2 linked regions of the Arabidopsis thaliana genome follow. The protein of the gene in region 2 interacts with the protein of the main gene of each other region in a pairwise test. Each region holds a gene or a part of one and is shown on either strand. Other genes may lie near its edges.

Region 1 (5,393 bases), on a different chromosome or scaffold from region 2:
AATTGTTAAAGATTCAGTTGGATATGTTTATCAATCAGTTGGAGAAGTTTAATATTTTCAGTTCTGGTATTCAAATAATCAGGCACAATTATAGTTTGGGGATTGAATTGTCTAAGCAAACGACAATATTCTCGAACTTCAGTTTTTAAGATTCCTAATAAAGTGGGACAAATCACTAAGAGATTTGTGCATATCAATATAATCTATATTAACTATTCAAAAACAACTATATATATCACTAATAAAATCATGTAATTTTTAGTTTTAAAGTTAAATTTACTCTTGTTGAAAAGAAGAAGAAGTTAAATTTACTCTTTATACCACTTACACATAGGTGTATGAAATACAAAATATAACTAGAAAATAATTCAGAGGGAAAGAAACGTAAATTTGTTTTACATATAATTAAGTAAAATGTTGAAAAACAGAAAAAGGTTAAGACAATTTTTTATTGTTTTGATAATTTGAGCTAAGACAAAGTAAAAAAAAAAATTAAAACAAAATTTTGTTTTAAAAATACAACAACATTGAAAGAAGAATGCCACAAAGTGAGTAATGAGTCCATCCCTAAAAGTTGATATTTCTGAAAATCGTCTATTGATTATGAAAAAAAGTTGGAAAAGTAAGTGGAACAATTATACAACAACAGAAATTTGTTGGAGTAGAAAGACATGAAAATAGATTTTTTGTAACAAAGAAGAGATTCCATTTCTCTCACGACTCGTCGCCAAAGCAACATTTCCACAGAAGTAATAAAGTATCCTAACACCAAACCAACATAACATACGTACTGTCATCAATTCCAAATACAAGGAATAGACAAGTCCCAAAATGCTTAATACAACAACAGACGTGAGTGATTGATGTCAACTTCAAGTAAGTAGAGACTGTTATGGGCTGACGGATCTGGAGGTGCTTGATCTTGCGCTCCTCGAATGACACATTGAAGATTGCCTGTCGTGCCTCCGAGACTTGCTTCTGCTCTCTTTCCTTCCCTTCCTTGGGGATATGCTACGTGACATGCTTCTCCCTCCAGGGCTTACGCTTCCCGATACCGACCTGTGCCTGATTTCATACGTATTTTCAGAAACAACAATACTAAGCAGTTTCAGCTGATCTGTTTATTTATGTTGACCGCCACCATACCTTCTGTAGTAACGACTTTCAGGTGAGTAGGATCTGTCTCTCCCTTGGTAGTGGGGTGAATAAGACCGGTCTCTTCCCCTGTAGTAGGGTGAGCATGATCGGTCACGTGCTCTGTAGCGAGGCGAGTATGACCTGGATCTGGACCTGTACCTCCGCATGTAGTAAGGTGATCTGTCCCGTGCTCTACAGTTACGTGAGTAGGATCTGGACCGGTCCCTCCGCCTGTAGTAAGGTGAGTATGATCTGTCGCGTCTCCTGTTGTAACGATCATCAGGTGAAGGAGATCTCGAAGGAGAGTAGAATCTGCGTCGTCGATAGAAGGGTGAGTACGAGGATGACCTTCCTCTTCTCCCATAGCTTGGAGAATAAGATCTGCCCCGATCAGATGAGTAGCTTCGACTACGACTACGAGAGCAGCTAACAGACCTGCGGGGAGAGTAGCTAGGAGACTTATGTCGTCCTGCAAAGGGAAGAAACAAAACCATGTTAAGGTAAAATCAGGAAACACCGACTACGGAATTGTGACAAAACCAATACAATTGATGTCATACCTCGAGCAGTTCTCAGCCCCAAGTACTTTCCTGGAGTTGGAGTACGTCCTCTACGACGTCTTGCCTGAACAGAAAACCAGAGATATCACAGATCTGTCAGACATTCATCAATGAAACAGGAAACACGACAAAAACAACATTCCTATATTGAAGCTACTAAAGGACGGAATATTAAATTGTTCAAGAAAGAGAGAAATGCAGGGCATACAACCCTAAATGTCTGAAACTTGATGTGTTTGAACTGTTGCAACGTTTGCTATTTGGTGAAGCACTGCTGCTACAAACAGCAGACCTGCTGCCACAGAAACTTGAAAGTGGAAACAAGCAAACAACTTAAATATTTTAAAAGAGAAGAAAAAATCAATATCAAAGTGCCTAGTAATTGCATATATCAATATCAGCTTCGGCCAGATCATATTCTTTATGGTTCTATAGAAGGAATCACTAGTGATTAGTCTTTTTACCTTCTCAACAGTGATGACGCGGCCCTGCAGAACAGAGTGATCTAGAGATCTGATGCAACGGTTAGCATCACCAACACTTTTCATAGAGATAAAACCAAATCCGCGAGATTCTCTAGTCCATGGGTCCAGGACAAGGTGAACATCAGTTACCTAGAAATATCAAAAGCTCACAAATGTTAAAACTCATGAACAAACAAATTTCTCTTTAAACATTATACACTAGTGAGCTACTCGAAACTGAATTGTGTTCAAAATTAAAGATAACATCCACAACCTTTCCTTCTTTAGCGAAATGATCCTCCAGATCTCTTTCAGTAACCCGGTGAGACAATCCAGTTACATATAAACTGTTACCAGGATTCTCAGCATCGCTTGAGACACTCCTAATGTAACAAAAGCGATTTAAAACAATCAGACATTAGCGCATTCAAAAGCAGCAAACATCAAGTCACGACAACTCAAACCTAAGAATAAGACAAATACCTCGTCGGGCTTCTAGACAATGACCTTGACACAGACCTTCCACGACGCTTGTCATAAGGAGATAGTGAAGGAGAGTATCTTGACCTTCTTGAGTAAGACATCTACAAGAAAATAGAACAATTAAAGAATTAAGACTCTTATTAGCTTCAAGTGTATTGTCTAAACTTATATGAACATGCTAAATCGAACCACAAAATCACAAAATCTACAAGAACAATTCAAATTTTAAGCTATTGTAATATGAAGACGACATAATTATCTTATTCTTAATAATCAACTTCCACATAAAACAAGATTTAAGAACTTCATCATACTCGATCACATGATATAAATGCTGACATCTATCTAGTTATTTTCCTTACAAGTCTAGAATCAAGCTTAAGCACATCGAAATTTACAGCAACGATTCAGATCTAACAACACCTAAAAGACGATAGTTCCACAGAATTTCGAAAACAACTCTGTAAAACGGCTCTAAATCGGAAACTAAAAAACGAAGGATAATACAATCGATGAAGCAAATTACCGGCGAACGATTCTCCAAGCGCAATGGATATTCCAGAACTCTCTGCACCTGACGACCCACCGGAGTAAAATGAATTTCACGTTTCCCCATATATGAGTGGGGAATATATGTAGAGAGGATTTAGAAAGAAGCTTCGGGAAAGTCGGACGCGATTGAATTTTAAAAATTCCATCACATTTTTCAGTTTGGCGTCCGGCCCAGCTTTATACGATTTTTCTTCTCACAAAAGGCCCAATTGTATTTCCCAGATTATTTGCATTTATCCAAATTACTAGTAGAATTCTCAAAAAAAAATAAACGATTCGAGCAAATGTGAAATTTGTGATAATAATATTCTCAAAGTTCTTTATGAAATTGGCCAATAACTGCAGACTCTTCATGGAACCAATTGCCTCTATAACTGATAGATTTCGTTAACAACCGTTTTGAAGAAACAATACATTCCGAAGTACTTTAAAAAGCAGAAGAAAATGATTCATTCAGAATACAAAAAACCTTCGTCCTGAATAGCGGGAAACTTGCAGTACATTTTTTAAGCGATATTTCTTCTCTACTGAGACGAACCAGTAGCTGTAGAAACATCAGGAGCTTGTTGAGAGGATCCCGAAGGTGCTCCAGACCCAGCAGGTGCAGAGTCGGGTGATATAGCAGAGACCGCGGTTGGAGACGGTGCAGGTCTTGATCCAGGACCAGGTTGCTGTGGGTACGGGTAAGCTGCTGGAGGCGGGGCATAGTGCTGCATAGGACTAGGTTGATGATGATGGTTAGGAGGATACTGCTGCTGGTAAGGCGATGGCATATATCCATATGGTGGTGGTGGGTATGACTGGTGTGGAGGCATCATGTAAGAAGAAGATGAAGCTCCGTTGTTCTCAGTGCTTGAACCACCAGCCTCTTGGGTTGAAATGACTGCACCCATTCTCTGTGGGTCCATTGATGGGTAATAAGGTTTGTCTTGGTTAGCTGGTGGTGGGTGCATATAGTACTGCTGCATTGGTGGGGGTTGATTGTGCTGCTGAGATATAACGGCTCGAGGTAGTAACCCACTATGAGCCACACCGCCCTGTTGGTTTGCACCATCTTGATCAGGTTTGGGTCTTCCCCATGTGAGTTTTAGCCTCTGACCGTTGATGACTAGCCTGTTGGAGAGCTCTTGCGCAGCCTTCTCTGCACCTTCACGGCTTGTGTATGTGACAAATGCACAGGCTTTATCGGCCAAGATTCTGATAGATTCAATTTCTCCATGAGCGTAGAATTGGTCTCGTATGTCCTGCTCGAGAATTCTCGAGTTAAGTCCACCGACGTAAAGGGTTTTGATGCTTTCATCGTCTGGCGATTCCAAAGTGCCCATCTCACCAGCTTTGCCAAGCAACTTCATAGCAACTGGATCATTAACACTGAAAACGTGTAAAAGAAAATGAGAAACAGTTAAAACAAACTCTTCAACAAGAATAAATGCAAAAGTACTAATACATTACAAAGAGAACTAAAACTGGAAACGACACTATGTAACAAGACTACATGAGAGCCAACATAGCATAGTTCAGTCCAAGAATTCACATATCAGAAGCTTTCAAATATCGAGTATATTATGAATGATCAAGGAGAAAATAGTACTATGGCAGAAACATATGAAATTTTACACTCCTTAGGGGAGGTATCGAAACAACCAATAAAGAACGGAACTAAACGTCAACAAAGTCAAACATACAGAAGAAAAAAGCTTACCCATAATAACGGTCTTTTATGTTTTGCTGGGATAGCTCTCCTGTTTCGGGCATCTCATGCCGGTATGGACATTCAGCACCTCTTGTACACTCACCCCTGATGAAGAAACTACAAACATGTGCTCGGTTCCTCTTATAGTACGGTGTTGTTCTTTGAAGCTTTAAAATAGTATCATTGGGTCGCATCTTCCCGAATGAAGATTCATAATCCAGTCCAGCTCTAGCCTACATAACAGAAAAAGCAAAATCACTTAGATAAGCCACCATGAGAAAGCTAGAGTAAGTCTTCAAAATTCTCAAACCAACAAATGCTGAAATAAAATCGTGAGTGTGAACATGATCATACCTTCCTGTCATGCTCTTCAGCAAAATACTCTCTGTTGACATCACTTTTAGGGATAGAGTCATGAGTACTAATGTTGAGTGCTGTGTCTCTTACTTGAACTGGAAGACCATACTCAAGATCCAGAAGACAGACTTGACAAACATTTTTCAA
Region 2 (5,275 bases):
ATCAGAGAGGATGGCCTTGAGAGACTCCCAAGAGCTGACACTAGTAGTAGTGACTCTCTCCTTCTCCACAGAAGCAAAATCTCGCTTTTGTTGCGTGTTACGGTGGGAATTAGATACGTTACCATCTGGTTTAGTGATCCTCACCTTAAACTCCATTTCATGTCGATCAATCGTTGAATTACCTTCCCCATCTTCTCTCACAACCAGTTCCCAACCAACTGAGCTTAAGTAAAACCAAAGAATTTTTCGTTAGCTTCAACAATCTTGGAATCTCCGGTAGTCGTGAAAGAAGTAATGTAGAGTATTATTATACCTGGATTTTTACTTTCTCTGTTGGTTTCTTCAGCTGCAGCAGAATCATAATTGTTACCGGAATCAATACCAGGCTGAATCAGAGCAGTTCGTCTTCGGATAGAAACGTCGTACTCTTCATCATCTCCATCGGAATACATGGTTTCATCTTTCTCAATTCTATTTCCGCAGAAACCTTGCTGGGTTCTGAAATGGCGATCGCCGACGGTTTCGAGCTCCCGGATCTTAGTACCTGAATCTCCCACACGGAAACGCAAAGATTCATCTTCAACGTGGAATACGAACCGAGGATCGATACTGTCGTTAACGGACATTTGCTTTTCCGCCGGAAAATTCAGAAGGCGATCGATAGAGACTGGAAGAGCACAGAGAGAGAGTTTAAAACGACGTCGTCGTAAGTGGGACATGAGTAGCACGCGCGTCGTGATGGTTAATGATTATGAAACCGTATCATTTACCTATAAGCTTTTGGTGGGTCCGATTTACATGGACTCATAAAGTGATATCGCCACGTAGACATAACATATAGGTTTTTATATTTATCTGAATTACCTTAAAAACAACTAATATCAAGAACCGGGTTACATTCAGAATTTCTCGACCACAATTCGTTTACGGTTTAGAGAACATACAGTACAATGCCATTACAGATTCTCCATTTTGTTCTACATTAAAGAGGGATCAGGTAAACTCAAAAAAACCAAAACTATAGTGAGTAGGATCACAGTGTAGTAACCGGTTTAGCTGGGCAAATGAACCAAGTTTCGGTTTGATAAAGATGTCCTCATTTCACAGTTCAGTCCCTGAGGGGTTTCATTCCCAGTGATGCTCTCAGTCTATTCATCTCTGCAATTTCAGGATTTGGATGATCGGTTCCATCTTCCTTCATCTTCTCCTTCTTTTCTTTCTTTTTCTTAGGTTCTTCCCGATCCCGCACATCATCAGTTTCATGTCTCTTACGATCCCTACTCCTGCTTCTACTTCTGCGCCTTGCCCTGTCTCTTCTGTCTCGTTCTCTATCTCTGCCTCTTTCCCTGTCCCTATCTCGCTCTCTATAGTGATCCCTGTCTCTCTCCCTATCCCGGTCTCGACCATGCCCACGTTCTCTTTCATAGTCTCTGTCATGATCTCGATCCATATCATAGTCTCTGTCATAATCACGATCCCTGCCAATCACAGAACCATGGTCAAATTATAATTCATGAAACAATGAGCTCAAGTCTCAACATCAATCATAATGAAAATCTGTAACAAAAAGAAAACATTGATTGAGCTAAAAACTAGATGGGAAGTGCTCTCATGATTAACTGATCTTTTTCAAAGTAACACAATGACAACTACCATATACTGTATCAGGGTAAGGATTGTAATAATGTCTGATCCATAATACTTCTCTCTGAACACTGTCAGTACAGAGAAACCTGGAAGGATCTCTACAAATTTAATTTCGGAAGCTGTATCCAACCGCTGATGGCTTGAGATGCCATAGTGGAAACAGACACTCAAAAGACAGAGTACTAGACATGATGCAAGAGCATTAGCTAGATCAAACAGCTTCCACAATCACAAAGAATTTTTTTTTGAAAAATGTTAACTAGCATAGAAATGTATCTAGTAAAGGTCACGGATTCAGATACCTGTGTCTATGACTGTCGCGTCTCCTGTCTCTGTCTCTTTCTCTTTCTCTTTCAGGACTCTTACGGCGCTGATCCTGTAAAAGAGGAGGAAGATGGTATCATCTTAGAGCTGCTAGATAGAAACAGAAAACAGATCACATAAAAACTATTGCAGAATGAAAGCACTGACCATCTCATCTTCAGATCCATCAGCAATCCCTTCATTCTCCTCCTTTTCTTCCTCTTCTTCAAAGTCGTCTTCCAAAACACTTTTCCTTGGCTCTAATAAACCATTCTGTTCAAGCGTCCACCTATCATCAGAGTGAAAAATTAACCATCTTAAAATACTGCAGAAACCAAAAACTAATTATTCAGCTTCAGACAAATGCAAAAGAAGAAACCTTTTCTTCAAACGTGGCATTGCAATATCACAAGAATAATCCTTGGTTAGAAGTTCCTCAATGACTTCGTCCACATGTGTCAGCGAAAACTCTATTCCAAACCAAAGAAATAAATCTAGTTAGTGAACAAATCAATCAAAAGTTAAACACAACGGATCCATCGAAAGAAAATGAAACTTACTCCCATCAGATAACTTTTGTCTCACTTTCCGGTAGTCATTGTAGAGAGGTTCGAGGTAGCGATAGACATCAACATCAGTCCCAGTGAGACGCAGATAGAACGCACCAAGAATACGAACATATCTGCAGAAACCAAAAGAGTAAATATTTCAGTAATTCAAGAACAAATATCTGCAGAAACTAAGAGAGTAGATTATCTAAGACCAATAGATTTGAGAGACATTCCATACCTGTATACTTGAGAAACAACTACGACAAGGCTAATAGCAGTATCCAATCTAGATTACGCAGAAATAAGCTTTTGGTTAGAAATCTTACTTGTAGTCATCATTTTTTATGAACTCCACGACAATTTCCTTCTCAGGCTGGATTTGAAGCATCTTCAATATGAGGCAAAGGAACGGAGTAGGCTTGCGGCTACCACCAAAGGTACCACCTAGATGGTCGAGCTCCATAGCTTTGTCCACCAATGTCTCCGCCGTGAGACCAAAGCACTGCTCCTTCCAAAAGGTGTGCTGATAAATCTTCGTTCGCACAATCTTCTCTACCAGATTCTGCGGATTCGTTCCTCTTATATTCTTTGCCAACGGATCTGTTCTGTTTGCCATTATCGCCTGAAGTTAATCAGAAACTGCCTCAAAGGCCTAGTCGTCGGAATAATAAACGTCGAGCGACGCCGCTTCAGTGAAGCCGGAATCGATGAAACAGCTTCCACGAATTTGCCGTCGTCGAAGACGAAGACACTCTAGGTCTTTGAAGAATCTGAGAAGTTAATTCATTTATTTTATTTTATTAATGATTGCTTTCGGTGGTAAAGCCCATAGTAAGAACATATTAATGGGCTGCTAATATATCTAGGCCCATTATAGATGGAGATAACGCCGTTAGTTGGAAGTCCGTTAGGACCGTTAGTTACATCAAGCAAAAACCCTATCGAAGAAATTGCAGTGTGTTTTCTTACAGCGAAGAGCCCCAAAGAGAAGAACAAAATTTCGAAAATAGAGAAAGAGAAGAAGTTGACGATGGATTCAAAGGCGAAGCAGATGATTCTTTCAGCTCTCTGCAAACACTTCTCTTTGGATCCTGTAAGTATTGAAGAAGATGACATCTCAAAAGCTTCTGCTTTTTTGTGAGGTTTTGCTTGGTAGCTGAGTATGTGTATGATCATTTTTTGAATTAGTTAGTGGAGAAAACTCGAACATTATCTGATTGGGTACTGAAATCAATTAGAAAGTTTATGTTTTGGACTTATCAGTGTTTACGCTTATGCATCAAGCTGGTCATGAAAAAGGAAAAAACTTTAGAAATTGGCTTTTATGATTTTACATTGTGATGATTTATTGGTTCTGTTTCTGAAATTGATTTGATTCATTTGTTTAGGAACCTTTTGTGGGCGGAGCGGGTGAAAGTGATATCAAGACACTTTATTCTAATGTATTGAAGGCATCTGGAAAGGAAGTATCTGCACAAAACAACGATGTAAGTCGTTTCTTCTTGAATTTGGTTCCTATAGACATAAACGCCAAACTCTTACTGGGAATTTATTGAGTTCCCTTCTCGTTGCTACCACGTTAGAAAAAAAATGAATTAGTATGTTTGAGTTCTGTGTAATGCTAAATGATGAGGATTCGTTGGCTTTCGTTTGCATAATGCGTCATTGTTTCACATTTTAAAGAGTAAAAACCTATTTCAGGTTTTGAAGTGGCTAGATTTTGCGGAAGGTTTCTCTTCAGATTCAAAGGATTGGTTTTCAGCTCTTGAAAAGTTGAATTTAGAGTTAGCTACCAAGTCAGTGCTCTTGGGAAACGGATTGACGCCATCGGCAGCTGATGTTGCTGTGTTTTCAGCTCTGCATTCTTCAGTGGTACCACTTCTCTATATTCCGTAGTCTACTTATTTTTCGTTCCTGTATAAGTAATTTTATGTTACTTGATAAAGATGCTACGATCAAATTTTCATAAACTGATGACTAAAGGTATTAAATACTAACTGTTATCTGTTTGACTTGCTGTTCCCAGCTTGGCCTCTCAGATTCAGACAAGGAGAAAGTACCACATGTCATAAGATGGGTGAATTACATCCAGGTAAGTTCGACATCATAAAGTTTTGTTACTTGATTGCGCCGAGGTAGCCTGTAAATCCATGGAGGACTACTTTATGTGTACGCGTAACGGCGTTAGTGACTATAGCTAGATATGCACTCTCTGAACATCACCTTTCACATTTTTCTTTCCTTGTGATTGTCTGCTTTACGAATATATGCTGCGTATTATTTTACAGAATAAAGAAGAGTTGTCGACATTATTTGCACCAATACCTGTGAAGCTACCAGAATTTAGCTTCGAGGTGAATTATCTTTTCATACCCATTTTCTTAGACTGAGAAACAATAATAACATGCTACTTTTTTCAGATGTATTACATGCGATGAGAAAATGGTTTTCTGATCTTTTTCATTTATTCTAAACGTAGGTACCAAAACCTGCCATTAAGGTGGAAACAAATTCTAATTCAAAAAAAGCTGCAGAAGGTGTAAAGCCTGTTGACAAGCCAGATGTGCAGCCGCAGCTGGGCACAAAGAAAACTGAGCCAGAGGTACTTATTTTAACTTTTAAGTTTGATTTCAATGACTGTGAGTCTCTTTAATTAGTTGAATCTGGTGTTCTCCTCTGTCCTTTTTCGTGTAGGAACCAAAGAAAAATGCAGCAAAAGAGAAGGATGCCAAAAAGGAAAAGAAGAAGCCTGCTGAACCAGAACCAGCTAAGAA

The links.
Region 1: the proteins of AT2G40650 (region 2) and SR45a interact in a two-hybrid assay, tested with the Arabidopsis thaliana proteins (one study listed by BioGRID).

What each region holds. Positions count from the first base shown.
Region 1 is NC_003070.9:2,256,842-2,262,234, forward strand, and holds SR45a (RNA-binding (RRM/RBD/RNP motifs) family protein), read right to left. Parts: upstream 3,347-5,393; 5' UTR 3,261-3,346; coding exon 3,171-3,260; intron 2,746-3,170; coding exon 2,645-2,745; intron 2,545-2,644; coding exon 2,436-2,544; intron 2,312-2,435; coding exon 2,162-2,311; coding exon of another isoform or gene 1,910-2,161; exon of another isoform or gene 1,762-1,909; coding exon 1,698-1,761; intron 1,607-1,697; coding exon 1,147-1,606; intron 1,066-1,146; coding exon 891-1,065; 3' UTR 553-890; downstream 1-552. Other genes in the region: MAC5A (CCCH-type zinc fingerfamily protein with RNA-binding domain-containing protein), read right to left, coding at 3,721-4,567, 4,899-5,122, 5,244-5,393. UniProt on the Arabidopsis thaliana protein: Probable splicing factor involved in constitutive and/or alternative splicing events. May bridge the 5' and 3' components of the spliceosome.
Region 2 is NC_003071.7:16,962,480-16,967,754, forward strand, and holds AT2G40650 (PRP38 family protein), read right to left. Parts: upstream 3,320-5,275; 5' UTR 3,118-3,319; coding exon 2,828-3,117; intron 2,633-2,827; coding exon 2,511-2,632; intron 2,421-2,510; coding exon 2,330-2,420; intron 2,240-2,329; coding exon 2,119-2,239; intron 2,024-2,118; coding exon 1,950-2,023; intron 1,479-1,949; coding exon 1,109-1,478; 3' UTR 807-1,108; downstream 1-806. Other genes in the region: AT2G40640 (RING/U-box superfamily protein), read right to left, coding at 1-218, 314-719; AT2G40660 (Nucleic acid-binding, OB-fold-like protein), read left to right, coding at 3,532-3,594, 3,890-3,988, 4,203-4,373, 4,528-4,593, 4,790-4,855, 4,981-5,103, 5,196-5,275. UniProt on the Arabidopsis thaliana protein: Probably required for the first pre-mRNA cleavage reaction catalyzed by the spliceosome.